Linked DNA regions of Ovis aries. The protein of the gene in region 1 interacts with the protein of each later gene in a pairwise test. Links are inferred from orthologs where the notes say so. Each region holds a gene or a part of one and is shown on either strand. Other genes may lie near its edges.

Region 1 (4,132 bases):
GCTTATAGGTAAAGTAATATTTGATATGATGGTCTGGGATTTGCTTAAAAATAATTGGTGGGGGTAGAGTGGATTGGGGTATAGATGATATGAATTCATTCATGATTTGATCATTGTTTAAACTGGATGACAGTTATATAGGATTCATTACACTGCTCTCCTGACTTTGAAACATGGAAAATGTTTCAGATTTTCCATGAAGTGTTTAAATAAATCCCAGTAAGTCTAATGTGCAAATAGGATTGAAAACCACTGAACTAGTCCACTGAAGGGTGGCATTTGAAGCAATATAGGCCCTTCTGCCACTGTTTCTATCATTTACTTGTATGCTTTATTATTTTAGAATTTGAAAGCTACAAACTATTAATATGCCTAGCTTTGGAAGAAAGCCCTTCCACGTATGATATGACATTTCTGTGGTAGGCATCAGTGCAGCTGACAAGGAGAGAGATTGTTTACTCCAAGTTAAATAGTCAGCAAAATCATCAGGAAAAGAGGCAAAACAACTAGAATTACAATTGAAAACTGTTTAAGTGAAACACTGAGGAAAGAAATAGAATAGACTGAGCAACTGTAAACTCTCAGATTTGGAAATGACCTTGGGAATTATTTGAACCAATCTTAGTTCACAAATGGCAAGACTGAGGTAAGGGAAAGAATGATCCAAAATAGGCTCCATTTCAGATAGAGCAACCTGACTTTTATTCAGGACACCGATTACTGCAGCCACAGTTTGACAAGTACACAGTACTTAAATCCTGAGTCATCAGTGTAGGAAATGGATAAAAATACAATCACCTTGAGAAAGCTTTGAAGAAGTAAATTCAGATGGCTGGGGAGATAGCCCAAGAGTTGAGGAAGAAGTCCTGAAGTGGAAGAAGCAAGAAAGGAACAGAGAAGAAACCCCAAGAAATCACCTTCACTTCTCTTTGTGATTATGTTTTCAATTGGGATCCAAGAAAATAAACAGAATCCACATTTCATGTGTTACCAACCCAGCAAAATTACTCTCTATTTACCCTGGTCGTTCAGACGGTAAGGCATCTGCCTGCAATTCAGAAGACCCAGGTTCAATCCCTGGATCGGGAAAATCCCCTGGAAAGGGAATGGCAACCCACTTCAGTATTCTTGTCTGGAGAATCCCATGGATATGGGGTTGCAAAGAGTCGGAGACGACTGAATGACTAACACACACACACACACACACATTTACAAGAGTAAATAAAATAAAACCTCAGATGTGTGGCAAGGGATGAGTGATAACATCAAACACACCCCAATCTCCTCAATCCCTCCATTTTTCTACTTCATCCCAGTCAGACTACCAGGTGGAATTACTGTATTTAATGCAGACAGCTCTAAAAGTGATTAGAAACATTTGGATGTAATTTTATTGCTGTCAGCTCCATCTATCTTTTCTGTAGGGTGAACACAAGTTGCCACTTTCCTGAAAGTCCTAGACTGACAGCCAGGTCTTCAGGGAAACTGTGGGTGGTCCTTTTTCAGTTTGGTAATATTATGAAGTACTACCAGGAAGTGAAGAAATCCTCAACTTATTTGCTCTCCCACTTAAGAAGTAGCTGGACATGAAAAAAAGCACCTCAGCCATAACTATAAAGTATGAGATGAAAACTAAGCAGTCAACCAAATAATGTCCTTTATTGATCCCCAGGACTAGGAAAAAGTATTCATATAAGCAAGGGGTTGCTGCTCACAGTCATGCCAAAGAGGAAGAGGATCTGAAGTGCTGATCTCTTAGAAGGGCAAAAATGAGACTAATACAAAGAAGTAGAAGTGTTCAGGGAAAAGTCACTTACCTACCTTAGGGCAAATGTGAGAAACTGCCGCCTGTGGTCAGCAACTCAGGTAACCTACAGTCTGAAGTTTTTCACAACCTACAAATTCATCAATACTCTAGAAGAGGCATCCAGGAGAACCAAGGGTGGAGGGGGGCGGAGGGGGGGGGGTGTTGGCCTCATCCTAAAAATGTGGCAAACACAGGAGTCCAGTAACAGGAACTCCGCCTCTAGCCTATTTTGAGGCAGCACCGCAAAAAGAATTACCACCCAGTATCTCCGTCCCCAGAAAAAAACCTTTAATTCTAAAAGCCTTAATTCGGGTCAGTGTGGTAAGGAAAAAACAAAAGAGGGAGGAAGAGCCCTGACACCCAGCCTGCTGCAGGACCGCCACCAACTAGGGGCGTGGGGACACTCACCTTGGAGTCCGGCAGGCTGAAGACGCTGGGGTCGTCGGTGCTCCCCACCATGATCTTATGTTCCTTACCCGGAGCATGGCCGCCGGCGCCCTCGGCGCGCGCAGCCTTGGCGCCGTGGCGCTCCCCGGCCACTCGATCGCTGGTGTTTCCCATGGCTGTGCAGCTCGAGTCGGGGGCCACCTGCCGTGGGGAACAGCATGGGGCAAGGGACACCCCGGCAGTCTTGTCAGGGGAGCCCCCGGCCCCGCCCCTGCGTCTGGGGAACCGGGCGAGGGAATCCCCGCCCCAGGGAAGCCGTGCCTGGGGGACCTCTTCCTCCCTGGCCTCCAAGAACACCCGGAACCCCCAAACCCTCTAGAGGCCCGCTGCTCAAGAAACCCCCTTTCGGGAACTCCCCCGCATCCCCCGCGCTCACGGTCCAGGGGCGCCCCCACCCCAATCACCTCCCGCGATGCTCTCCCTCCTCCCGGGATCAATGGTGAGATGGCTGTTCTGCGGATAAAGCCACCAATAAAGTTATCGAAATTGAAGCCTCGCCCCGGGCTAGCGAGCCGGGTTTCCTCCTAAAATGGCTACAAGATCAGTGGCGTGGGGCCCGCCCCGCGCGCGTTCCCTGCGGGCGCGCCGCGACGGCGCCCGGGGCCAGCCGGCCTCTCTAGCCGCCGCCGGCTCGGTGGTGGGCCGCCGCGCGCAGCCTCCAGCGCCAGGCGGGGGCGCCAGTGCCGCAGTCAGCGGAGTGCGGGGCCAGGACCGCTTCCCTGGCAAGCCTGCGCCGGAATCTTAGGTTTATTTTAGTTCAGTTCAGTCGCTCAGTCGTGTCCGACTCTTTGCAACCCCATGGACTGCAGCACGCCAGGCCTCCCTGTCCATCACCAACTCCCGGAGTTTACTCAAACTCATGTCCATTGAGTCTGTGATGCCATCCAACCATCTCATCCTCTGTCGTCCCCTTCTCTCGCCTTCAATCTTTCCCAGCATCAGGCTCGTTTCAATGAGTCAGCTCTTCCCTTCCCATCAGGGGGCCAAAGTATTGGAGTTTCAGCTTCAACATCAGTCCTTTCAATGAACACCCAGGACTGATCTCCTTTAGAATGGACTGGTTGGATCTCCTTGCGGTCCAAGGGACTCTCAAGAGTCTTCTCCAACATCACAGTTCAAAAGCATCAATTCTGCGCTCAGCTCTCTTTGTAGTCCAACTCTCACATCCATATATGACTACTGGAAAAACCATAGCCTTGACTAGACGGACCTTTGTTGGCAAAGTAATGTCTCTGCTTTTTAATATGCTGTCTAGGTTAGTCATAACTTTTCTTCCAAGGAGTAAGCGTCTTTTAATATCATGGTTGCAGTAACCATGCAGTGATTTTGGAGCCCCCAAAAATAAAGTCTGACACTGTTTCCACTGTTTCTCCATCTATTTGCCATGAACTGATGGGACTGGATGCCATGATCTTTGTTTTCTGAATGTTGAGCTTTAAGCCAACTTTTTCACTCTCCTCTTTCACTTTCATCAAGAGGTTGGTTGAGCCCAAAGACCTGCCATGGGGAAAGGATGGTTCCCAAAAGATACTTGGGGTCCCTTCCCGGGCTCTGGTGCACCGTACCAGGAGGAGCTGTGTTGGTTTCTTCTCGGCCTCCTCACCTGGTCTCAAGTTTGCCAAATGTCTTCATTTTGTAGCATCTTTTCGACAAGCTTCCCAGAGAGGTGAGTTCCTGTAAGGAATAAGAAATAAGAATAAGGACTTGCAATTGAAAGCTAAGGAAATAATGGTAATTGCTGGGGGTTAAAACTAAGTGTTATGGGGAGTACTTAGCAGTCAGAGTGGGGCCCCAGGGAAGAGGGAATATTTAGACAAATCTTGTCAGATTGTCAAAATTAGGAGAAAACTATTCTAGGCTAAGAAACGGTATTTGCAG
Region 2 (4,278 bases), on another chromosome or scaffold:
TTGGACACCCGGTTTAGTGGCAGGCTCCCACCAACCTGCTCTATGACCTTGAACATGTCAGTTGCCCATCCTAGGCTTTAGTTTTCTCTCCTATCCCCCTTTTTGGGCTGTTGGTTTATTTCCCATCAAGCCCCCAGCTCAAATATGCAGGGGAGCCGAGACTCTGATTATTTTGGGCGGCGAGGAGCAGTGGTAGAGCAGGGCAGTGTCTCTCCTCCTCCCAGCTCCTCACGTGGTCTGGCTCCCCTGTGACCCTGTCTCCAGCCTCTCTGGGTTCCACCTGTGTGACCTCAAGTAAGTCACTTAACTCCTCTGAGCTCAGTGGCCTCCGATATAAAACTGCACTCTGTCCAGTAGCTTCCAGGCTCTTTCTTTGCTTCTCCCTGTTTCCTCCAGAACCTCCAGTCCTCCCCTCCACCTCACTAGATCTTCCCCCTGCTCCCTGGCTTCCCCCTCACCTGTGTGTCTACCCACTTGGCCCCCTGGCTGGTGTGTTCCACTCGGCCATAGAAGTGCACCGGCAGGGTGAACTCAGGGCGGGCCTTCTCCCAGGGGTTGCCGTAGCGAAGCCAGTCATCAGCCTCCTCCATCTGAGCCGCAGGTGGGTCACGGGAGAAAGGAAGGCAGAGTCAGAGCTAGGCTCACACCACAGCAGGTGGTGGGTGTAGCAGGAGCCCGCAGCCCTGGTGTGCCCTATAGAGGGAGGGCGTGAATGACCGGCTCTGCGGTAGGTGGGCCCCCAGTCTGGTGGAAGATCCAAGGGGGCTCGGTGTGTGCATAAGAGTCTGAGACATTCCACAGCCGTGGACCTCTTGTCCCAGGAGCTGACAGCTGGCTTGGGGCCAGGGGGAAGGGGCAAAGATGCTCTCCACCCAGGCTGCTGGGGCTGCTTCTGGATCTATGTGCAGATGAATGAACAAATAGCCATCTTCATCATAACCACAAGGTCAGGGCCCAAGGTTACTCACCTGCCAACCCCCAGAGATCTTCTGGTTAAAAATCCCAAACTCATAGCGGATCCCATAGCCATAGGCAGCCAGGCCCAGTGTTGCCATTGAGTCCAGAAAGCAGGCTAGGGGTGTGCAAGGAGGTGGATATCAGAGACCCAACATAAAGGAACACTTCTGCCCAGTGCCCTGGCGCCCCGCTCACTTACCCGCCAGCCGGCCCAGGCCCCCGTTGCCCAGCCCTGCGTCCTCCTCGATTTCCTCCAGCTCCTCCATGTCCAGACCCAGCTAGAGGTGGGAGGGTATAGCAGAAGTCAGGGCCAAGGGCCAGCAGGTCAGCCCTCCAGTCCTGAAGGCGTGCCCACCCCTACGCACCTGATAGGTGGCCTCGTCACAGGCATTCTCCAGCGCCAGGTTCACCATGGTGTTCTGCAGCGTCCGGCCGATGTAGAATTCCAGAGACAGGTAGTAGATCCTCTGTCCGGAGAAATAGACGGGGAGGGGGAGGGGAGGGAGGGTCAAGGCCGCCCCCTGACATTCAGCCAGGCCCGGCTGGGCCTGCACCTCTCATACCTCCTGCCCCACTCCTAGGCCCCAGCGGGTTCCAGCCCTGCCTCCAGTTTTCCTGCCTTCTCAGGCTTTGGGACCCAGCAGGTAAGATACTGGTCCCAGCATTTCTTCTGACTTTGGACAATTCACTTTTCTTCTCTGAGCCTCAGTTTCTTCATCTGAAAAATGGGGCCATATCCACCTCAGGGGGTTGAGGTGCTTAGGAGAGCTGGGAACCCCTTCCTTCGCGCGCAGTCCTGCCAAGAGCCCATCAGGAAGTCAGGACACAGGGAAGCACCACCAAGAGCTCCCGAAAAGGGGAGGCCAGGCCCAGAGAGAGAAGTCATTGGCTCAAGGTCACACAATGACTCAGGGCTAGAGTCAGCCATCTCCCTCCCTTGCAGTGCCCAGCTCCCCTTGGCCCTCAAGCCTCAGTCCCAAGAAGGGGGTTGGAGAGAGAGACTGCTGTATCCAGGATGCTGACGGTGTGGTGCCCAGTCTCCTGGTTTCCTGGGTTCCCGCCCCTCCCCTCCCCCACCCCTGCCCAGCAGTGTCAGGTTGCTGACCTTTACCAGTGACCCCAGCAGATACTTGATATCGCCACCCCAGATGCGCCTCACCCGGCACACCGGCACACCACACACGCGTTCAGTAGAACATCCTTCCACTTAGGATCCAACCCAGGCCGCGGGGTCTTCCTGCCCACCCCCCAGCAGCCTCTCCATTCTCTGACTGAGCGCTGAGCCTTTGCAACCAGCCTACCGGACCCGAGGCCCCTGACTTGCCCCCGACTCCAGGTTTCTCCCCCTGGGTGGTTCCAGCACCCATTGCACCTGGCACCCCTTTCATCCAACCTCAGGAACCCGGAGGCACCCTTTCTTTTGCTGCAGAAAGTCCTGACCCCAGAAAGGGCCTGTCATTCGCTCAAGATCTCCCAGGCCCCAGGCAGGGCCCCCCAGCCCACTGCCCACCCGGGGTGCCCCAAGCGGCACCTTGGGGTCCTTCTCATAGTAGTGCTGCTGCGTGCGGATCCAGCGGCCCACGAGGTGGTCGCGCACCGTGTAGGCCAGTGCGAAGTAGTAGTCTCGTGGGGTGGCCACATTGCGGTCTTTCACAAGGGTGAAGTGTAGGTGCCGGTTGAAATTCTTCTTCAGCTCGGTCACATTCTCCACACCGGCCAGGCCACGCACGCTGATCTGCTTTCTCTTCTCCTGGTCTGTCAGGGGCCGGGACATGGCTGAGGGAGGGTGGGCCGGACTGACTGTGCAGACGGGCGGCCTGAGTGGTGCCTCCAGCCAGGGAGTGGAGATCCCCAGCCGGCTGGTGCTTTAAAGCCTGGCTCCAGGCAGCTTGCCCCACCCCTTCCCTCGATGGGAGGGTCTTGGCCCGGCTCCTCAGGGAGCTATTTTGGGGTGAGTGGAGGAGAGGAGGGATAGGGCAGGGCCAGGGCCGGCCTGGCTCCTTCGCAGCCCTGCACTGACCCACTTCCTCCAGGCCTCGTGCACGGGCACTGGGGCCTGCCTTGTGCAGGGTCGGAGTCAGGAAGCAGCAGGCAGAGTGCTGGCTTGAGAGGCCTGAGATTTGATTGGAGCGGCTGGGCTGTGACTTTGGCTGAGGCTGCCCTGAATTCGGATTATGGATGAAGGATGGGGCCTGACTGTGGGCCCTCAATCAGGGCTCCTTGGAGAGGCCAAGGAGGCTGTCGAGGAGGACAGGTGTCAGGAGGCCCAGCCTCCAGCAGAGCAGCTTGGCTTCGGTTCTCGACTTTCACACAACAGGCTGCACACCACGGGCAGGATGCTCTCTGGTCAAGCTGCTATGGTGGCCCTGCCCTTTGGTGGGGAGGACATATGCTGTGGCTGAAGGTCACCTGCGCAGAGCATCAGGGTGCCCAGAACAGAAAAGGTGAAGCTAGCGGAGGACCCTGGGCATCTGAAAAAAGGGGGACCGGGATTCTCAGTTCCAGGAGAGGTCGCCTGAGGCAGGGCCACTGCCCCCACCCCATCCCCCACCAAAGTCCAGCCACTCTGAGCTCCCCCTGTTGCTGTCTCTCAAGGAGTTCTGAACTGACCTTTCAAGAGGGATGGTCAGATTACAGGCCAGCTTTGGCTAGGGGCCACCAGCCTGGAGCAGGGGCCCCTGGGAACTGTAGTCCTGTGGCCCACAGGGGTAGGAGAACTGAAGCAGTCCATACACACACATACACACAGACACACACAGAGACACAGGCACAAGACACACACACACACACACACAATGGTATCAAGTCTCCCCATGCCGCAGGTGAGTGAAGGCCTTCTCCCATTCATTTCTCCCGCCTAGGGCCACGCAGTTCCTAAAGTTCCTTTAGGATGGACTGGTTTGATCTCCTTGCAGTCCAAGGGACTCTCAAGAATCTTCTCCAACACCACAGTTCAAAAGCAACAATTCTTCGGCGCTCAGCTTTCTTTATGGTCCAGCTCTCACATCCATACACTACCACTGGAAAAACCATAGCTTTGACTAGATGAACCTTTGTTGCCAAAGTAATATCTCCGCTTTTTAATATGCTGTTTAGGTTGGTCATACGGAGAAGGCAACTCACTCCAGGACTCTTGCCTGGAAAATCCCATGGACGGAGGAGCCTGGTGGGCTGTCGTCTATGGGGTCGCACAGAGTTGGACACGACTGAAGTGACTTAGCAGCAGCAGCAGCAGGTTGGTCACAGATCCTGCTTTGTTCCTGTTTTTTGGCTGTGCCAAGTCTTAGTTACGGCATGTTGGGATCTAGTTCTCTGGCCAGG
Region 3 (2,291 bases), on another chromosome or scaffold:
GTCAAGTGCGACATGGAGGTGAGCTGCCCAGACGACTACACTTGCTGCCGCCTACAGTCCGGGGCCTGGGGCTGCTGCCCTTTTGTGCAGGTACCGAGGAATGGGGAGTGGACTGCGCTGAGCAGAGGGCAGCCGCCAGCCAGTCCCCTCAGGCCCACTGTCCCCTCTCCCGCCACCCTAGGCCGTGTGCTGTGAGGACCACGTGCACTGCTGCCCGTCCGGGTTTAGGTGTGACACAGAGAAGGGTGTGTGTCAACAGGGGACCCGCCGGGTGCCGTGGATGGAGAAAGCCCCAGCCCACGTCAGCCTGCCGGACCCCGGAGCCGTGGAGGGGGATGTCCCCTGTGATAACGTCACCAGCTGTCCTTCCTCCACTACCTGCTGTCGACTCACGTCTGGGGAGTGGGGCTGCTGTCCTGCCCCAGAGGTGCCTGGGGAGGAGGATGATTTAGGGGAGGGGGGCAGTGTCCTGGCCTGGGCACATGGCCAGGCTCCTGTTGCCTTGCTCTTCTGCCTTCTGCCCAGCCCACGGGGGACCCCAGCTCAGTCACAGTCATGCCCAGCTCGAGGAGCCGAGCAGGAGAGGCAGGCTGGGGGCTGCAGGGGCTCAGCGCTCTGGCCCAGAGTAGCTGCCTAAACCACCCTTTTCTGCCACCTCCCCAGGCTGTCTGCTGCTTGGACCACCAGCACTGCTGCCCGAAGGGCTATGCGTGTGTGGCTGGAGGGCACTGTAAGAGGGGGAAGCAGGTGGTGACCGGACTGGACAAGGTGCCTGCCCGCAGGGCCTCCCCGTCCCACCCCAGAGACATGGGCTGTGACCAGCACACCAGCTGCCCGGTGGGGCAGACCTGCTGCCCGAGTCTGAGGGGGGCCTGGGCCTGCTGTCAGTTGCCACACGTGAGTACCCACCTGCCCAGTCCTGGTCAGGGCGGGGCCCCGTCTCAGGTGGGAGGGGACGTTAGTGGGGGTGAGAGTGCGAGGCCCTTTTGTGTTCCATAGGCCGTGTGCTGTGAGGACCGCCAGCACTGCTGCCCGGCTGGCTATACCTGCAATGTGAAGGCCCGATCCTGTGAGAAGGAGGTGGACCCTGCACACCCTGCCCTCCGCCTGGCCAGCGGCCCTCTTGTGGGCGCGGGGAACGTGGAATGTGGGGCGGGGCACTTCTGCCACGATAACCAGACCTGCTGCCCAGACAGCCAAGGGGGCTGGGCCTGCTGCCCCTACCGCCAGGTCAGTGCCACCCCCCAACCCAGGGGCTGGGTAAAGGCCTGGGCCAGGTCCTGCCACGTCCAACTCTCGCCCCCTACTCTGACCATCAAGGGCACCTGTTGTGGGGACAGGCGTCACTGCTGTCCCAGTGGCTTCCGCTGCGGAGCCAAGGGGACCAAGTGCTTCCATCGGGAGGCCCTGCGCTGGGACGCTCCTTGGAGGGACCCGACACCAAGACAGCTGCTGTGAGGAGGGCCTGAGGACTGAAGACACTTGGCGGCCCTCAGGACCCTGCTCAGAGGGTCCCCACTGCTCAGGCCTCCCCAGCACCTCTCCCCCACCACATTCTCCCAGACCCCCTTCTGAGTCCCCCATCACCCTGGGAGGTGGGGCCTCAATCTAAGGCCTCCCCTATGCCAAGGTGAGGGGGGCTGTGGCAAAAGCCACGTTTCAAGCTGCCATCCCCTCCCCCAATTTCTGTCAACCCTGTGGCCAGGTGCTCTTCCTATCCACAGGTGTGTGTGCGTGTGTGTGTGAGCGCGTGCGTATGTGTGCTGCAATAAAGTTTGTACACTTTCTTAACAGTGTCTGATTTGGCCACTCTGCCTGCCCTCCCCAGGGGCCCCTGAGCCAGGGTCCCCATCCAGTGGCCACATTCCCCAACCCCCACAGAAAGACACACAGCAGCTCATCTCACCAGTTTTATATTTGCTGTTGCCCACAGTGATCCCATCACATTACTCCCTAGTCCCCGGAGCCGCCCCAGCCTCCAGCCCTGTGACATCGCAGCCCAGAGGTGGGCTAGTCAGCAAGCAGCACCCCCTACCCTCCCAGGGGTCCGCTAGAACGCCCCCTCCCTTCCCGGCCCTCAGGCTAGCAGCTGAGGCCTCGTTGCCCCTCCTGCTTTCCCACGATAGAGCTTTCTATGTACAGCCACGTTTATACAGGCACTGCTTCCCCCCACCCTGCCCTCCTCCCCAGCACCTCCCATCGAGGTTCTGGTCCCCCCTCCCTCACCTCCCTCTCGGAGGCAGACACGGGTCCCTCCCAAGACATTACCCAGCACATACCACCGGACAGCT
Region 4 (4,286 bases), on another chromosome or scaffold:
GCAGCTGCCCCTTGCTCAAGGGCTCATCTCCAGGCTCACATGAGATGGCAGCGGCGCTCTTGCCCATATGAATTTTCCACCCGGGCAATCTCCTGGATCACTTTGGTGAAGATGCCTTGAGTCAGCTGCAAGGGATAAGGATTCAGGGCAAAAAAAAAAATTGGTTGAGTTCACTGCCAATACTACCCAACTCTTAGGTGAATGCCCCACTCCCCCACCATCCCCACCACCAAGCAGTGGCATAAAAAGAAAAACACTGCTGCCCCCACCACCCTCCTACTCTTCAGGCCCAATACCTGATTATTCCGAGCAGATGACTCCATAAATGTTGCACCCCAGGATGCTGCCAGCTTCTTCCCCTCAACAGCCTGGACCTCCCTAGAAGCAAATTCAGGACATGAAAATGAAAAATAGCAATGGGCCCCATGCTCTCTGAAAAATCTTTACAGAAACTAGACTTCCTCTGACTCATCTCATTCCAAGGTTTGGGAGAACGTCTGTGGAAGAAGAAAATACAAGAAAACAAAGGAACCTAGGACTGAGGCTTGAAATATGAAATTATAGCTTTTGAGATAGAAGGATCATTTTGTCTCAACCTTCAAGTTAGAAACGAAGAGGTAAAACAACTGGTTTAAATCAGTGGCAGAGCCAGGACAAGAGCCTGACTCACTCCTAGACACTTTCCTTTGCCTTAAGCTACAGAGATTTCCATACCTGTCTGGAGAGAGATCGGCCTTGTTTCCCACCAGCACCACCGGCAGCCTGGGAGGAGACAGCAGTTACAACAGAATCCCCTCTGTTCCCCATGGACCCCAACCTCCTTCACATCATAGCTGGACAACTCCCCATCAAACCAGATAGGATCGATGTTCCGGCTTCCTCCTTAATTTGGATCAATACTCCCCTCTGCCCTCCGTCTTCCGTGGTGTCCACACTATGTCTTTATCCCCTGTGCCACGTACCGGGTTTTCCCGTGGCCTTCATGTAGCTTTTGGTACAGACTCTCAATGACTTGGAAGCTTTAAACACAAGAAAAGAATCTTACAATTTTATTCTGGGATAGCCCTCAGGTCTTCCCAAGTCCACCACTCTCAACCTCGGTCACTTACCTATGCAGAGAGGTGACAGAATACACAAGTACATAACCATGGACCCCAATGATGAATGAATAGGGCAGAATGCTGTACTCATCCTGACAAGAAACAGAAATATCAATACCTTGATTCACAAGACTCAGATGGCCAAGTTTGGTGGGCTGCATCCTGGGGACCCTCCCTGTGGCACTCCCTACTCCGGTCACTTCTATCCAACAAGTATTTATAGAGTAGCTCCAAACAACACTGCACACTGAAATACTGCTAAAATGCTTTTAATACTGCTTTACAGATGAGCCTCAGAGGCTACCAGACTTCATCTCCCAGGACTGAACTGCCACATTTAGACACCCTACCCCAAACTGGTACCTGCCCTGCTGTGTCCACCAGGTGTAGGTGAAACTCATCTTTGCCAACAGTCACTATCTTGCTGTAAGCTGAAAAGAAAAGAAAACTTGACTGTGAGGTGCCTTGTACGGCGAGCAATCTGTGCCCCTATATATTAACATAGATGGGCCAGGTTCAAGGAGCTCTCCAGGAAACTTAAGATACAATGTTAGGCTTCTTATTGTCTACACATGCACTATCCTGGACTCAGTATCTTGGAAAATGCACACTCTAGCTCCACTCACAGAACAGGATTGATAGAGAAGAGACTCGATTTAATATCTAATTAAATCATCCCTTTGGCACCCGGAAAATCCCAAAGTGTGGCCTTGGGTGGGGCACCTAAGCCCTCCCTACCCCACCCCAAGAGGAGAAATTTACTCACTATTCTCCACAGTAGGATCATAGTCTTCCAGGAACTCTCCCTCCACAAATTGATGTGCTAAAGATGTCTTCCCTGTGGGAAGCAGAGGTAATTGTAGCCAAATCACCCATCCACATTCATTTCCTCTGTCCTTTCGGGCTGTGGCCCTGGACTAAAGGAAACCCCGAATTAGCATCCTAGCCTGTGAATGCCCCATGCAATGCTTTCCCATAGACTCCTTCACCCTCTTTTCGCCCCAGGTCTCTGCACCTTGGCCACCGGATGCATACAGTAGCGACGCAGGAAGCTTTTCCTGCAGTCTTTCCCCACCCAACTCCTGGGAAGATCCGGATTCCCCAGGATTTAGTCAGCCTTGCATCCGACACCTGAGACTTGCCCCACCCAGACCGCGCCCCCGCCACCAAATCCTGCCCCCATCTCCACCCCCCCAGAGTAACGAACGCTGAGGACCACTGTGGTGTTCAAGCAGTAAGCCCATGTATACTCTTCCATGCTCCAGCTTCCTGCCGCCTTGAACACTACCACCACCCCAGCCTTTCCCACTCCAACCTTTCAGTCCTCGCTCTACAAGCTGGTTCTAAGGATGCCACCATTTCTCCCTGGGTCGCCTTCCCGCGGCAGTGCGCCTCCTCTGGCCACAAAGCCGCGGTGCATCGGTGCTCTGCCCTAGAGGGAGACTCACCTACAGAACGGTATCCGAGGATGACCACCTTCCTGTAGCGAACTAACGGCATGGCAGGAGCCGGCCCCGAGGGGCTTGCAGAACTTGGAGCTGAGAGAGCCCCAAGAAGAGAAAGTCGCAGTGCAGTCAGGTGTGGCAACCGGCACAGGAAAGTCGCTCACTCTGAAGCTGCCAGGGGCAAGCTAGAGGGAAACCAAAACAAGCGCCGCGCCCGGAGCTGGCCACGTGATCACAACACAGCAAGACTAAGGCGAGGGAGCCGGGCGACCGGGGAACTACACTGCCGCGCCGCTCAGGGCTCCGCCCCCCAGGCCGCTCGCCATTGGTCCATTAGAAAGGATAGGGGCGGAGCCGTTAGCAGGAGGGAAGGGCGGGCCTCACGTGGAGCGGGAGAAAAAGGAGTTGCGCATGCGCACACTAGACCCGGTTCATTCATAAAGAAACAGAAAGGAACCCGGGGTCCTAGAGGTGTTTGCGCGTTTGCAATCTAGTAATAGTGGCTGCAAAGAATCGTGGATGGAAAAGCGTTGTGGCTGGGCTGGAATTTATGGTTAAAAGATTCTAGGTCTCCCTTTTGCAAGATCTCCGGAGTCCTTGGGTAGGGAAAAAAGGCCAAAGTTGTAATATATCCCCCTCCAAACTTTAGCCCCAGATATTTTATTGTAAGGTTTCTGTAGTCTTCCAGGATCTAACTTCGGAACTGCGATTCTTATTCCTTGAAAAATTGTTAGAATTTGTGGCCAAGTCCTCTGAGGTTTAGCTGTTATCGTTATCACAATCAAAGCATTTATTTGTTCAACAAATATTTATTAAGCATATACTATATGTTTTAGTTATTGCTCCATCTTGGAAGATAAGAGTGATGAACACAATAGATAAGGTCTCTGAGTTCACAAGCTTAAAATTCAGTTGGGAAGAAACAAACATAAACCAGTAAATGTTAGATAATATTAAGTGCAACAAAAAAAGCAATGTTACAAGGGACTTCTGGGTGGTCCAAGGCAGAGTACTCTTTGTTCCCAATGCAGAGGGCGGGGGTTCAATCCCTGGTCAGGATACTAAGATCCCACATGCTGCAATTAAGACCCTGTGCAGACAAATAAATAAAAATAAAGGGGGGGGGCGGGGAACTGTGATAAGAAATGACGGATTAGTCATTAGTGACACAAATTAGTGGCTTTTCATTTCAAAAGAAGCCCCATTCAAGGTGAAGTTCAAATGACAGTAAGGAGCCAGCTAGGTAAACATTCAGACAGAAGAATCCACCGGCACTAGGATGGAAATAAGTTTGTGAAAATCCAGAAAAGAGAGAAAGCCAGTTAGCCTAAAGTAGATGAAGTCTAAGAGGATCGCAGGTGCTAGCCCATGTAAAGTAGTTTGGGCTAATTCTAAATACCTAGAAAGCTGCTGTTGATGGCTGTTGATGGTGTCATTAAGTAAATTGGGGCATGACATGATCTGAATTGTGTTTCTAAAAGATCTTTCTGACTGTGGAGAATGGATTGGGGTTTGAGAGAAACAGGAGCAAGTGGAACAAACAGGGAGATCAGCTAGGAGTCTGCTATTTGTAGACCAGGTAAGGGGTGAGAGTGGCTTGACTAGAGTGATAGTGATGAATGAATTTCATTCAGAGAATTCGGGGTATGTTTTGAGGCTGAGGTTAAGCTCACTTGCTTGCCGAAGGTATGGATACAGAAGGTGAGGAAAGAAAACACCTAGGTTTAGAGAGAGTTTTACT
Region 5 (3,500 bases), on another chromosome or scaffold:
AGCCCCCCTCACCACAGGGTCCCTGGGCCTCCAGGCGCCGAGAAACAGCTGGGAGAACACCTTCAGGACCCACAGCCACAAGTTCACATAAGCCGACCCTCCAAGAAGTATTCCAACACTCCTGGCAGCTGTACTCACACCTCATTCATAGCCGCTTAAGTCAACTGTCTGGAGAGGGATGGAGCCAGGCTCTTCACTGAGACGCCTCACCTGGATCAGGCCTTGGCGCCCAGAACTAAATTCTGCTTCCTACCACCTTGTCCCGGGTTGATTCCCCTTAAATTGCTTTTGGTTTTTGTTTAAAAAAAACATACCAAAGGGAGGGAAAAAAATCTTACTAAATTAAAGCTGGTAAAAAGTCTTAAAAATATGGGAAACAAAATGCTTTCAAACCAAATACAGGTTATCTCTACTCAATTGTAGTTGCCTATCCTTTATTATCGGAGAAGGCAATGGCAACCCACTCTAGTACTCTTGCCTAGCAAATCCCATGGACGGAGGAGCCTGGTACGCTGCAGTCCATGGGGTCGCTAGGAGTTGGACATGACTGAGCAACTTCACTTTCATTTTTCACTTTCATGCACTGGAGAAGGAAATCCTTTATTATACACCACAATGCTGAATGTCTTCTGGGGAAGTAGTATATGCAAATTTTAAATCAATCAGAATAAAGACTACAACTTTTTTTTAAAGTCACATACCTTTTAAACAATACACTTTTAGGCAGCCCTGACTAGGGATGGAACTTGTGCCTGCTGCGTTGGGAACAGAGTCTGCACCACTGGACAGACAGGGAAGCCCTTAAAAGCCAAACAACTTAAAAGCCTCCTGTGTTAAGGAAAGCCAAGATCTTTCTCTATTCTTGACTTGGGCTTAGCCACTGAGGATATAATGGGGGCTGAAGTAAACTGCACACCACCATGGGATATGATTGGGCTGAATTAAAATAAAATCCCCAGCATCAGGTATCTTGAGCATTACAGTAAGGGCTAGAGACGAGCAAAGTGTTATTTAATAGTCTGCACATCTAACCACAATTTTAGGCAAAATCTCTTTATGCGGCTAACTAGAGTCGGTTCCTCTTAGATCAAGTAGTCATATCCCTTCCATTTGCTTTCCTGTCCAAAGAGGTTCTATTACTTTCCCTTTACCTCATAAGGAAACCCCCGAAGATGAACATCATTCGTACTTACATTCAAAGCATTCTTGGCAGCTTCTGCTTCTGAGCGACTGTCAAAACTGACAAAACCTACGGGCTAAGGAAAGAAAGAGAAATATGAAGAAAAAAATATCAGGGGATGTCTCTGTTTCTGGGTCAAAGATGACATCAAACCAAAGAGCTCAGATAAAGAAATGACCGCAGGCAATGGGCAGAAATCAGAAAGCCAGTCCAGAAGAATCATGACTCAGTGGCTTAGCCAAATTTCTAACATGGATCAAAGGGATGGTGAGGGTGGTTCTTCAAGGGACAGCTGGAGATTTAGAGAATCATTAAAAAAATTAAGTCTAGAAGGGGCTGGAAGGTGAGCAGCAGTGAACCAGGGAACAGAGGGAAACTTGGGTGGAGGGACTCTACTGTCCTACATCGAACTCACTGTACCTCAGCATCTTCATCGTTTAAAATGCAAAGAGAACCGAATCACCTTTTGGTACACTGTAAGTGCAAGGAATATAATGACACAGTGATAAAAGCCCTGTAGTCTCACTGCACGATCAAAATTATATAATGAACATTTTAATCTCAAATCCCAAGGGATGTTTTTAAAAAGTTCTGTGTTTAATTAGGTGTGTAAACCATACTGTTCCAACTCAAGAGAGGACTCCTAATTGCTTTGGACTCAGTATCTTTGAGTCCAGAAGGATAGTTGCAACACAGCCTATTCCTGATGAACCAGAGAATACTGTATTGAGACGAAAAGTGACCCAAAGTGAGATGCCGGTTGCTCAGGATTAAAAAAAAGCACAGCCAAAACATTTCAAGGCCCTTGAAGCCGCTATCAGGGTCACTGATTACTACCTCCATTCTGCACCTGTGCCTTTTATGCGCCATTCTAGACTTAAGACTCTGCATGTGGTTATTAAGGGTTTGAGACAGAGCCTGATTCTTTACCATCAACTTCTCATACTGACTGTGAATGAAAAGTCTGACTATTTAACTGTATTTTTAAAAAAAAATTGGCAGTAAAAGTGAATCTAGACAATAATTTCTTTTGAAGATACAGATCAATCCCAATATAACCATGCTGGAGGCATTATATTTGCCTTCCTTGAGGATAGTCTCAGACACTCTAGCTGGAGGCTTTGGAATTAGGAATCATTTTCCTCTGCTAATTCTTAACTGATCTCACCCTTAATTTTAGAGCAAAAAAATAAAAAAATAAATCTTAATGGAAATTTAAAAAAAAAGGATGTTGAGCCCTTGTGACATTCCTGAAGAAAGTCAATCAAAATTTATTCTATAAGTCATCACTTATGTGCAAGTTTGAAATGCTTACCTGCTTAGATGTGAGCTTTATAAGAGAACCCTCGTAGCCCTGAAAATAAAGAACCAGATTTAGACCACAAAAACAATACGCCAGGAAAAAAAGCAATTGTAATACCATCTTGCTCAAGTGACAATGAGTCCTTTATGACCACTGACCAACTCTTCCTACAAATGTCTGTTAACTATAAAACAAGTTTTATACACACACACAATGTATATGCCTAAGTATATATATATATGTGCTGTATGCTTAGTCATGTCCAATTCTTTGCAACCCCCTGGACTGTAACCTGAAAGGCTTCTCTGTCCATGGAATTTTCCAGGCAAGAGTATTGGAGTGGGTTTCCATTTCCGACTCCCGGGGATCTTCCCGACCCAAGGATAGCGCCCAAGTCTCCTGCACGGTCAGGTGGATCTTTACCACTGAGCCACCTGGGAAGCCCACACTTGGGCCTAAAAGAGATCAAGCCCTGAAACTCACTCTCTTACGTTTCTTTTCTATGTTCTTATGCAATTGGGAAACAGTTGGAAAACGGTATCTATGTCAACAGAAGGTCTTTTCCATTTTATACATAGGATAAAAGCCACTCCACTCCAGTATTCTTCCGTGGAAATTCCATGGGCAGAGGAGCCTGGCGGGCCACAGTCCATGGGGTGGCAAAGATGTGGACACAATTAAGAGACAGAAGAAAGGCAGTTAAGTAGAGTATGTGATGACTTGTTCACACTTATTCACTTGTTCACACTGAAAAATATATTTGCTGTAAAACAACAACAAAACACTGATAGTGTACTTAGTAGAACTTGTCAATGAAAATTTCAAAATTGCCTGGAAAAGTTAAACAGGCAGTAATGCTAAATTCTGTTATTTTGCTTATTTATTGCAGCCATCTGTTTTCATGCTGGTATTAGGATTGGGAGATGCAAAAATTCCCTGTTGGGTTTTACTCCAGCTCATCCTCAAGGAAGATGGAAACACTCCCTTTCACTCCCTTTCTGATCCCTCCTGGTTTCC
Region 6 (3,500 bases), on another chromosome or scaffold:
AAATAAATACTTAGAAATCATATTTAAATGATACGAAATTGGAGCCATCAGCGTCTCCCAGGAGACCGTCTCTGGCTCAGCCACCTGGGGAGCTTCATGAGGCTGCCCTTCCTCCCTTAGCCACCCTCCGGGCGGTGGAGAAATGCTCTCTAAAGCACGGCTGCTCTTTCAGAAGCACTCCTCAGCGCCTTCCAGGGGCCTAGGGTGGTCGTCTCAGTGCTGCTGTATGATCCTTTGACCCGATGGTGACCACTACACTTTGGGAGGCCCTCTCTACTCTCTACCCTTTGGGGAGCCTCAGGCCTGGAGGTGCTCAGTGACCAGGGCGACACGGGGAGGACCCCCAGGAGGCAGGCACATAGGACCTTACCCTGCTCTGTAGTGGCACTGGGGACAGGGAAAGACTGAGCTGAGAAGGTATAATACCACATCGTGGCTGCTTTCTGAAGCTGAGAATGCTGTATTACTAAAAAAAAAACCCAAAAACTTGGACCTGCAATCAAAGTAATAAAAACTGAAGGAAAAATCTGGCACCTTACCTTTGTTCTTACAAAGAAGGACTTGTCTTCAGTCTCTACGAGGTGGAAGAGGAAGGTGCTGGAACACGCCTCCCTCACCACTCGCTCCAGCTTGACGCGCAGGCTGGAGCACAGGTCGGCCACCAGGTCCTCGTAGGAGGCGGGCTGTGGGCTGCAGACACACAGTTCACTGGGCATGGCCGCTCCCAAAGCCACAGGTGGCTCCGTGTCCTGGACCAACTGGCGGCTGCTCAGCATCACCTTGTTGAACTCGGCATACTCACTGAGAATGACAGCAATGTCGTTGCGTGAGTCTTTCAATGTACTGTTGTATTTCAGCTTGTGGAGGTGGAAGGAGGCGGTCTGATTCTGGTCTGAGTTTGTGAGGTGATTTCTACCATGGCCACACCCCTTCTTCCAGGAGGAGGAGCGGTCCACATGGTTGGGCATCTGATGCACGACTGTCACCACAAGAGGACTCCTGCTTCGGGAGGTGGGAGGCAGCCCCGGGCATGTGGGCATTGGGGTCCCAGGAAAAGCCCCGGTGGTGACCTGGGGTGGAGGCTCCTTTGGAAAGGCACCAGGCAAAAGGGCAGAATGCCGAGCGGCTCCCATCTTCACAATTTGTTTCAGTTTGTGTGCAAAACGCAGGTGCTCCAGGTCTAAAGTGTTCTGGGTGAGGTCATCTGTTCCCTGCCAGGTGTCCACCCAGGAGCTGAGCAAGCCACACGGGACCGTGCTGCTGGGGCGCCGCCTCAAGCCGTGCAGGGTTCTTGGTGTGTCTCTGAGCTCTCTGGTCACGGTGAAGTTGGCGTAGCTCCTGGGGACCCCACAGACATCTCGGATTTGGACGTAACAGGGCACACACGTAGCTTCCTTCTTCAGTCCACCCAGCCAACTTCTGGGAGGAACGCTGGTCTCCAGCCCTGGAACCTGGCTCGCGTAGCCCCAGTCATGGTCATCACTGGTGTTCAGGCTCAGGAAAGCATCATAACTGTCTTTGGATGCACCTTCTCTTTTCCCGGTGTGGCCATATTGTGAAGCACGGGACTCTTCTGTGTTGTATCTGGGGTGTCCATACTCACCCACAGAGTCCTGATCTGAGTCTCCAGAAAGGGGTTCATAGTAGATGTCAGAGATCACGCCCACACCCTTGCCTCCACCTGTGCCTGCTTCGCCCGTACTCACACCTTGCAGCTGCTCTTCAGAGACCCCACCAACAGGAGGTGCACCAGATCGGGGAGCAACGGACACAGAGGGCTCTGGACTGGCACTCTCGCCGTGGGCTGCAGTACCTGGGTGAGCATCAGCCTGCAGGTACGTGGGGAGAAGTCCGCCATGGAGCAGATCCCATACTGCACACGGTGACCCCTCCTGCAGCAGACAGGCTGACTCCTGTCTGCCTTGTGGAGAGGTGGTGAGCAGCTGGGGGCCAGCACCTCCTGGATCCGCGGCTCTTCCCTGTAACTCGGCTCCACTATCCTCACTGTTGAGCAGGTGGGTCATTCTGACAACCGGGACTTCCTGTGTCGGGAACCCTGTCCCTGTGTCGCTGGGGCCTGTGCTGTTTGCTGTGGTAGCCCCGCCTGAGGGGAGTGCAGGCTTGGGGAGCTCTGGGTGCCCGTGGGTCTGCACACCCTCAGCTCCAGCAACTGGGTCGGAGCGCAAGGACTTAACCAGGATGTAACAGCATTCCTGTGTTTTCACATTACTGCTCAAAACATCTTCAGGAAGGCTCTGAGTGCTGGTCACCACAGCACCTGGTGTGGCTGTAGAAACAAACATGTCAGCAGAAGACTTGTTTTCAGGGATCTCTGCAGGACTGAAAGGCTCACTGGTCTCCAGGACACGATGATGTGAGTGGGGGCTGCAGATCTCCACACCCGTGGGCTGCAGTGGGTATCCTGATGATACCAGGTTTTCAAGAGAATCTCCGTACGTGACACCGCAGGCAGGCTGGGTTACTGTGGCATCGAAATCTGGCCCCTTTCCTGAGAGAGAGAAGCCCTCCCCACATTTACTTGGGCCAGTTTCCTCAGTGACGTCACCAGGAAGGATTAAGAATCTACCTTTTCTTCCTGCGTGGTTCTGTAATTGTAGAGGTGTTTCAGCAGAAAGCTGCATCTGCTGTACCTGAGCTGAGTTATCTTGTTCCACTGGATGGGTGGCAGTAACAAGAGAACTTTCCTTTTCTGTTTCGGCCAAATCTCCTGATTCGACCTCACAGAGCCTGGTGCTTTTCTCACCAAGTGTGTCACGGTGTTTCAGACCACGTGGAGATGTGGCCTGAGTTGGTGGTGCTTCTTCCACTGGTGCCTGGGGGCCAGGGCTGGAAGCGGGTGACACTTCTTCAATCAAGGAACCGAATGGGAAGTCAGAGGCAAGGTGAACTTCCTCCGCAACCTGCCGGGTACATGTTTCTTTAGAAAGTATGAAAGCCACTGTCTGTAAATGATCACCTTTTCCCTCCTTGTTTTCTGCTGGTTTCACAGACGTGTTAGCAGCAGAGTTCACGTCTCTGTTTTCTGTGAAAGTAACCTCTTTGGACATGAGTATTTCCTCTGCCATCTCCTGAAGGTCTACGCAGGGAAGCGAGGCCTCCTGCGGTTGCTCCACTTCACCAGTGGGCGCTTCTTCCCTAAGACTCATGGGTGGTGATAGGGTGAGAGTGAGGTCAAGGTTGGAATCCTCCTCTGATACCTTGAGGCTGACCTCCTCTCTATTCACAGACAGGCCTGCTTCTTTGGTAAATGTGGAATTAAATGGTTTAAAACTAATATTTTCACTGTTCAGACCACTCTTGTCCTTCTTTAGTTCTGAAGAGCCACACAGAGTATTCCTTATTGATGCGATGCAGTTAAGGGAATCCTTTTTTCCCAAGGGGGCAGAGGCTGACAATGGGACTACTTCAACCTGGGACGGCTCTATTATTTCTTCCGAAGAGATGCTCAAGAGATTCTGTGTTGGGAGAAGGAATTCTTG
Region 7 (3,500 bases), on another chromosome or scaffold:
CTCAGTAGGACTTTCGCAGACTTGAAAGGGCATCTAAGCTCTACGTAGGTCAGGGTGACGGGTGGATTCCAGGTGGCAGTGCAGCATGAGCGAGGCCTGGCTGCAGGCATGTGTGCAGTCAGTGTGGGGGTGAATGGAGTGATAGAGTGGGGGAGAATCTGAGGCGGTGGGTGTCCCAAGTCAGGACTGGCGAATGGAGGGAAGGGTGAACTTTCCTACTCTGTATAGAGTTCCTTTTATACCTGACACGGCCCCGTGGTTTCTGTGACTATGCTGACAGATGAGGATTTCAAGACCCCTAATTAGCATCCTCTGGAGGGGCAGGTTTGCTTGTCCTGAATTCAAGTTCTCAGGAGGATGAGTCTACAATTTGAGGCAGTGACACTAAAGTAATTTTAACCTACATTCCAGGAGTACTTCCTTAGTTGGTTAGTTGAAATATTGTCTGATTTTCACTCTTGTTTCTAAAGGTGCCCCCTTAGGATTACTGTGCCACCCTCTTTTCTCACACAAGAGGGGGAGAAGCCTCAGTGGTGGTCACCTTTTTTGTCATGGTTTGACTTGGGGTTTGTAGATTAATGAGGAATTTTAACAGGGTACAGTACAACGTTAGGGGACAGACGCCCTAACTTTCATGTGAAAAACTGATTCAGAAGAGTGCCATGCAAGTTACATTGGGAAAAGACTAAACTGGGCATAACTTTAGGAAGGGAGGAAGAAAGGAACCTGAAATGGAAGGTCTCTGTTGAGATTTCCAGTCTTGGAAATTAGAAAAAAAAAATTTCCTGTAGCTCTATAACCTAATAAATTTGTTGATTGTGGGGAAGTGATTTTGTCCAAGGTGGTTGAGGCATGGCATATTTCCTGTTCTAGAGTACTGCTTTCTGAGAGTGTGAGTACTTTGCTGTACTCATGAGATAGAGAGCCTCGAGCATGTCCCAGGATCCTCACAGTAATCAGTGACCAAGTGGGGAATGGAATACAGATTTGGTGTAAGCTGTTAACTTTCTTGCTACTCTGTTACCTGCTGAGAATGCTTTAAATTCCTATTAAGTTTCCTTTTGACTGCTTCCGGACATAAGTACTGATTTTATTATCTTGGGTCATCTTTTAGTGGGTATTTTGTCCCTAATATTGATGGGTACTTTTTCCTGTCACAATTGCCTTCCGCAGAGCTTGGAGGACTCCTGAAGTATGTGCGACCCTTCTTGAATTCCATCAGCAAGGCTAAAGCTGCTCGTCTGGTCCGATCTCTTCTTGATCTGTTTCTTGATATGGAAGCAGCTACAGGACAGGAGGTAAGCTACTTGAATGACAAAAGAGACAAAGTCTAGTTTGGAGCAAAGTCTTGTTTCAGTGAAGGAAGTGCCTGCCTGCACTGCGGTGGTAATGTGTAAGGGACGGCTGGGAGGACAGCGCAGGACTTATCATGTCAGTTTCTCTTTGTTGCAGGGCATTTGATACTTTGGGTCTGTTCCATGCTTTGCTTTGTAAGTGGAGATTGTCAGTGGTCCCTGGAATCCTCATTACATCAGGGTCACAAACTGATTCTTGTCTTTGAGGTATTGTATTGCTACACCTTTGTAATGTTTTCTGTGTCTGTGGTACCTCTGTGTCACAGAGCTCCTAGTGAGCACTAATTAAGTCTCGTGGCATCCCTTCCTGGCATGTCTTGTATGCATTTATGCCTTTATTGACTGAGCATCCATCTGTCTGTCTCGTGTGTCCTGAAGTGACTGGTATACCTGTCCATGTCCTCTACGAGTTCAGACTAGACCCTGAGCTGTACCGAAAAGTGTTTCTTTGGAATCGCTGAGCCTCTTCCAGTTCTTTGCAAAGAATTACTGTTTGCAATTCCGGAGAAGGAGACGCTACCACAGTTAAAACTCATTCTGTAAAAAGTGGTAGATTCAAGCAGGGTGTGTGGTGGTTGCTTGAACCTGTTTGTAGGAAGAATACAGTTGTTGTCTTTTCTGTATTGCTCAGCAGTCATTGAATGCGTGCTGTGTTAGCACTGTTACAGTGCTAGGGATTCATTTGTAACGTACAGTGCTCTCATGGGGATTATATTTTAATGAGGAAGGCAGATAATGAACAAATATGTAAAATGTCAAGTGGTATAAAGGCAGGGGTAGGAATTGGTAGGTAGTTACATGTCTCATTATTTGCCATGGCGCCTGTGGATGTAAAAGATGTGAAGGGGCTTAGTGGCATATTGAATAAACAGTGGGGAACTTCAGAAACCTAGCACTTAAATGGATCTTACTTTGAAATCATGTCGTTTGTAAAATCTGGTTTCTTTCCTTAATGATTCTTTGAAGCCTAGTTTAAACACCATAAACTAACTTCATTGTAGAAAATTTATTTCTAGAGAAGTCTTCAAGTTCATTTGTTTTTCACAGAACTGTTTCATGATAGTAGATCAAAAATAGATGTGTAGATGGCTGCCTTTTGAACCAAAGCATTAGACTTATTTTTATGAATAATTTAAAAGAAAAGGTGGTGTTTCAAAGAGGTGTTACTCTTGTGTAACCCTGACTTTTAAAAAAAAAAAATTGTATTTGTACTCATGAAAAAGTGATGCCACATTTTTTGTTTGAATTAGGACTCCTTAGAATGAGTTGAACAATAAATGTTAGCTTGAAACAGACTAATAAATGTTACTTGGAACATTTTAGGCAGAAAAAATTAATTATCCAAGCTGCTTCTTTGACTGAACTCTTGGAATTTGTCTCTTCCTGTAACTGCGCTGGCTCAGTGGATAGGACTACATTTGTTTGATGGTCAGTTCTCCTCCTCCTGTATCCACATTATCCAAATCATAATTTGGTGCTCTCCTGTAATTGGCTTGTGGGATTTACTGGCCTTTGTCTTGTGGCTCCATGTCTGGTTAGGCCCTCCTTTTAACTGTGTGTGTACATTGTTATCCTTCATTGTACATTATTTTCTTGTCAACTAGAGGCTTGTCTTACCCTAGGGTGAAAGGGAGCACTCTTACAGATTGTGCCTTTTTATTGTCAGTGTCGTGTTAGTGCTGAGTAAGACCTGTTGATCTTTTTTGTTTGTTTGTTTTTATTGATTAGTAGTCTAGCTTTTTATCAAGAGCCAGAGTCTTACTCCACTTAGCAGGTCTTTCAGTAATTTTTGTGGATTACAGGTTATTTGCTTGGTTTGGAGTAAATTATGAACCATCCAGATGGTTCTGTCTGCACCTCAAAGTCAACATAGCAACGTCAGCACCCAACTATTTATTAAATTCTGTCAGTGCAACTCTCTCCAATCTATTCTCCACCTCTTTTTGTATCTGTTCTCTATGTACAACTGCCATCGAGTTTGGGTTCTAATTATTTCTTCTTTTTTTTTTGGAGGTATTGTTCATGTACAGTGAGTTCTAATTATTTCTTAGACTACTGCAAAAGTCTTGTACCACCATTTTGAGAGATATCCTACCCAGTAACCCTCTCAACATCTTATTCCTCTCTGTTCCCCCCTGACTTGAG

What was found.
Region 2: the proteins of PRKAB2 (region 1) and PYGM interact in binary tests that used the Homo sapiens proteins (3 or more experiments, as listed by UniProt). The link is inferred for Ovis aries from reciprocal best matches to the Homo sapiens genes PRKAB2 and PYGM.
Region 3: the proteins of PRKAB2 (region 1) and GRN interact in binary tests that used the Homo sapiens proteins (3 or more experiments, as listed by UniProt). The link is inferred for Ovis aries from reciprocal best matches to the Homo sapiens genes PRKAB2 and GRN.
Region 4: the proteins of PRKAB2 (region 1) and RHEBL1 interact in binary tests that used the Homo sapiens proteins (3 or more experiments, as listed by UniProt). The link is inferred for Ovis aries from reciprocal best matches to the Homo sapiens genes PRKAB2 and RHEBL1.
Region 5: the proteins of PRKAB2 (region 1) and RBPMS interact in binary tests that used the Homo sapiens proteins (3 or more experiments, as listed by UniProt). The link is inferred for Ovis aries from reciprocal best matches to the Homo sapiens genes PRKAB2 and RBPMS.
Region 6: the proteins of PRKAB2 (region 1) and TASOR2 interact in binary tests that used the Homo sapiens proteins (3 or more experiments, as listed by UniProt). The link is inferred for Ovis aries from reciprocal best matches to the Homo sapiens genes PRKAB2 and TASOR2.
Region 7: the proteins of PRKAB2 (region 1) and PSMD11 interact in binary tests that used the Homo sapiens proteins (3 or more experiments, as listed by UniProt). The link is inferred for Ovis aries from reciprocal best matches to the Homo sapiens genes PRKAB2 and PSMD11.

What each region holds. Positions count from the first base shown.
Region 1 is NC_056054.1:98,151,187-98,155,318, forward strand, and holds the start of PRKAB2 (5'-AMP-activated protein kinase subunit beta-2), read right to left. Parts: upstream 2,801-4,132; 5' UTR 2,659-2,800; intron 2,456-2,658; exon of another isoform or gene 2,396-2,455; 5' UTR 2,369-2,395; coding exon 2,216-2,368; exon of another isoform or gene 679-2,215; intron 1-678. UniProt on the Homo sapiens protein: Non-catalytic subunit of AMP-activated protein kinase (AMPK), an energy sensor protein kinase that plays a key role in regulating cellular energy metabolism.
Region 2 is NC_056074.1:39,445,366-39,449,643, forward strand, and holds the start of PYGM (glycogen phosphorylase, muscle form), read right to left. Parts: upstream 2,801-4,278; 5' UTR 2,732-2,800; coding exon 2,489-2,731; intron 1,425-2,488; coding exon 1,323-1,424; intron 1,236-1,322; coding exon 1,157-1,235; intron 1,073-1,156; coding exon 969-1,072; intron 591-968; coding exon 459-590; intron 1-458. UniProt on the Homo sapiens protein: Allosteric enzyme that catalyzes the rate-limiting step in glycogen catabolism, the phosphorolytic cleavage of glycogen to produce glucose-1-phosphate, and plays a central role in maintaining cellular and organismal glucose homeostasis.
Region 3 is NC_056064.1:43,892,553-43,894,843, forward strand, and holds the end of GRN (progranulin), read left to right. Parts: coding exon 1-90; intron 91-181; coding exon 182-427; intron 428-663; coding exon 664-897; intron 898-999; coding exon 1,000-1,230; intron 1,231-1,320; coding exon 1,321-1,458; 3' UTR 1,459-1,791; downstream 1,792-2,291. UniProt on the Homo sapiens protein: Secreted protein that acts as a key regulator of lysosomal function and as a growth factor involved in inflammation, wound healing and cell proliferation. Regulates protein trafficking to lysosomes, and also the activity of lysosomal enzymes.
Region 4 is NC_056056.1:137,161,685-137,165,970, reverse strand, and holds the start of RHEBL1 (GTPase RhebL1), read right to left. Parts: upstream 2,801-4,286; 5' UTR 2,601-2,800; coding exon 2,549-2,600; intron 1,939-2,548; coding exon 1,867-1,938; intron 1,532-1,866; coding exon 1,464-1,531; intron 1,193-1,463; coding exon 1,110-1,192; intron 1,020-1,109; coding exon 963-1,019; intron 763-962; coding exon 715-762; intron 379-714; coding exon 297-378; intron 126-296; coding exon 36-125; 3' UTR 1-35.
Region 5 is NC_056079.1:25,712,936-25,716,435, reverse strand, and holds part of RBPMS (RNA-binding protein with multiple splicing), read right to left. Parts: intron 2,535-3,500; coding exon 2,496-2,534; intron 1,257-2,495; coding exon 1,194-1,256; intron 1-1,193.
Region 6 is NC_056066.1:42,517,827-42,521,326, forward strand, and holds part of TASOR2 (protein TASOR 2), read right to left. Parts: coding exon 540-3,500; intron 1-539.
Region 7 is NC_056064.1:17,480,655-17,484,154, reverse strand, and holds part of PSMD11 (26S proteasome non-ATPase regulatory subunit 11), read left to right. Parts: intron 1-1,173; coding exon 1,174-1,298; intron 1,299-3,500.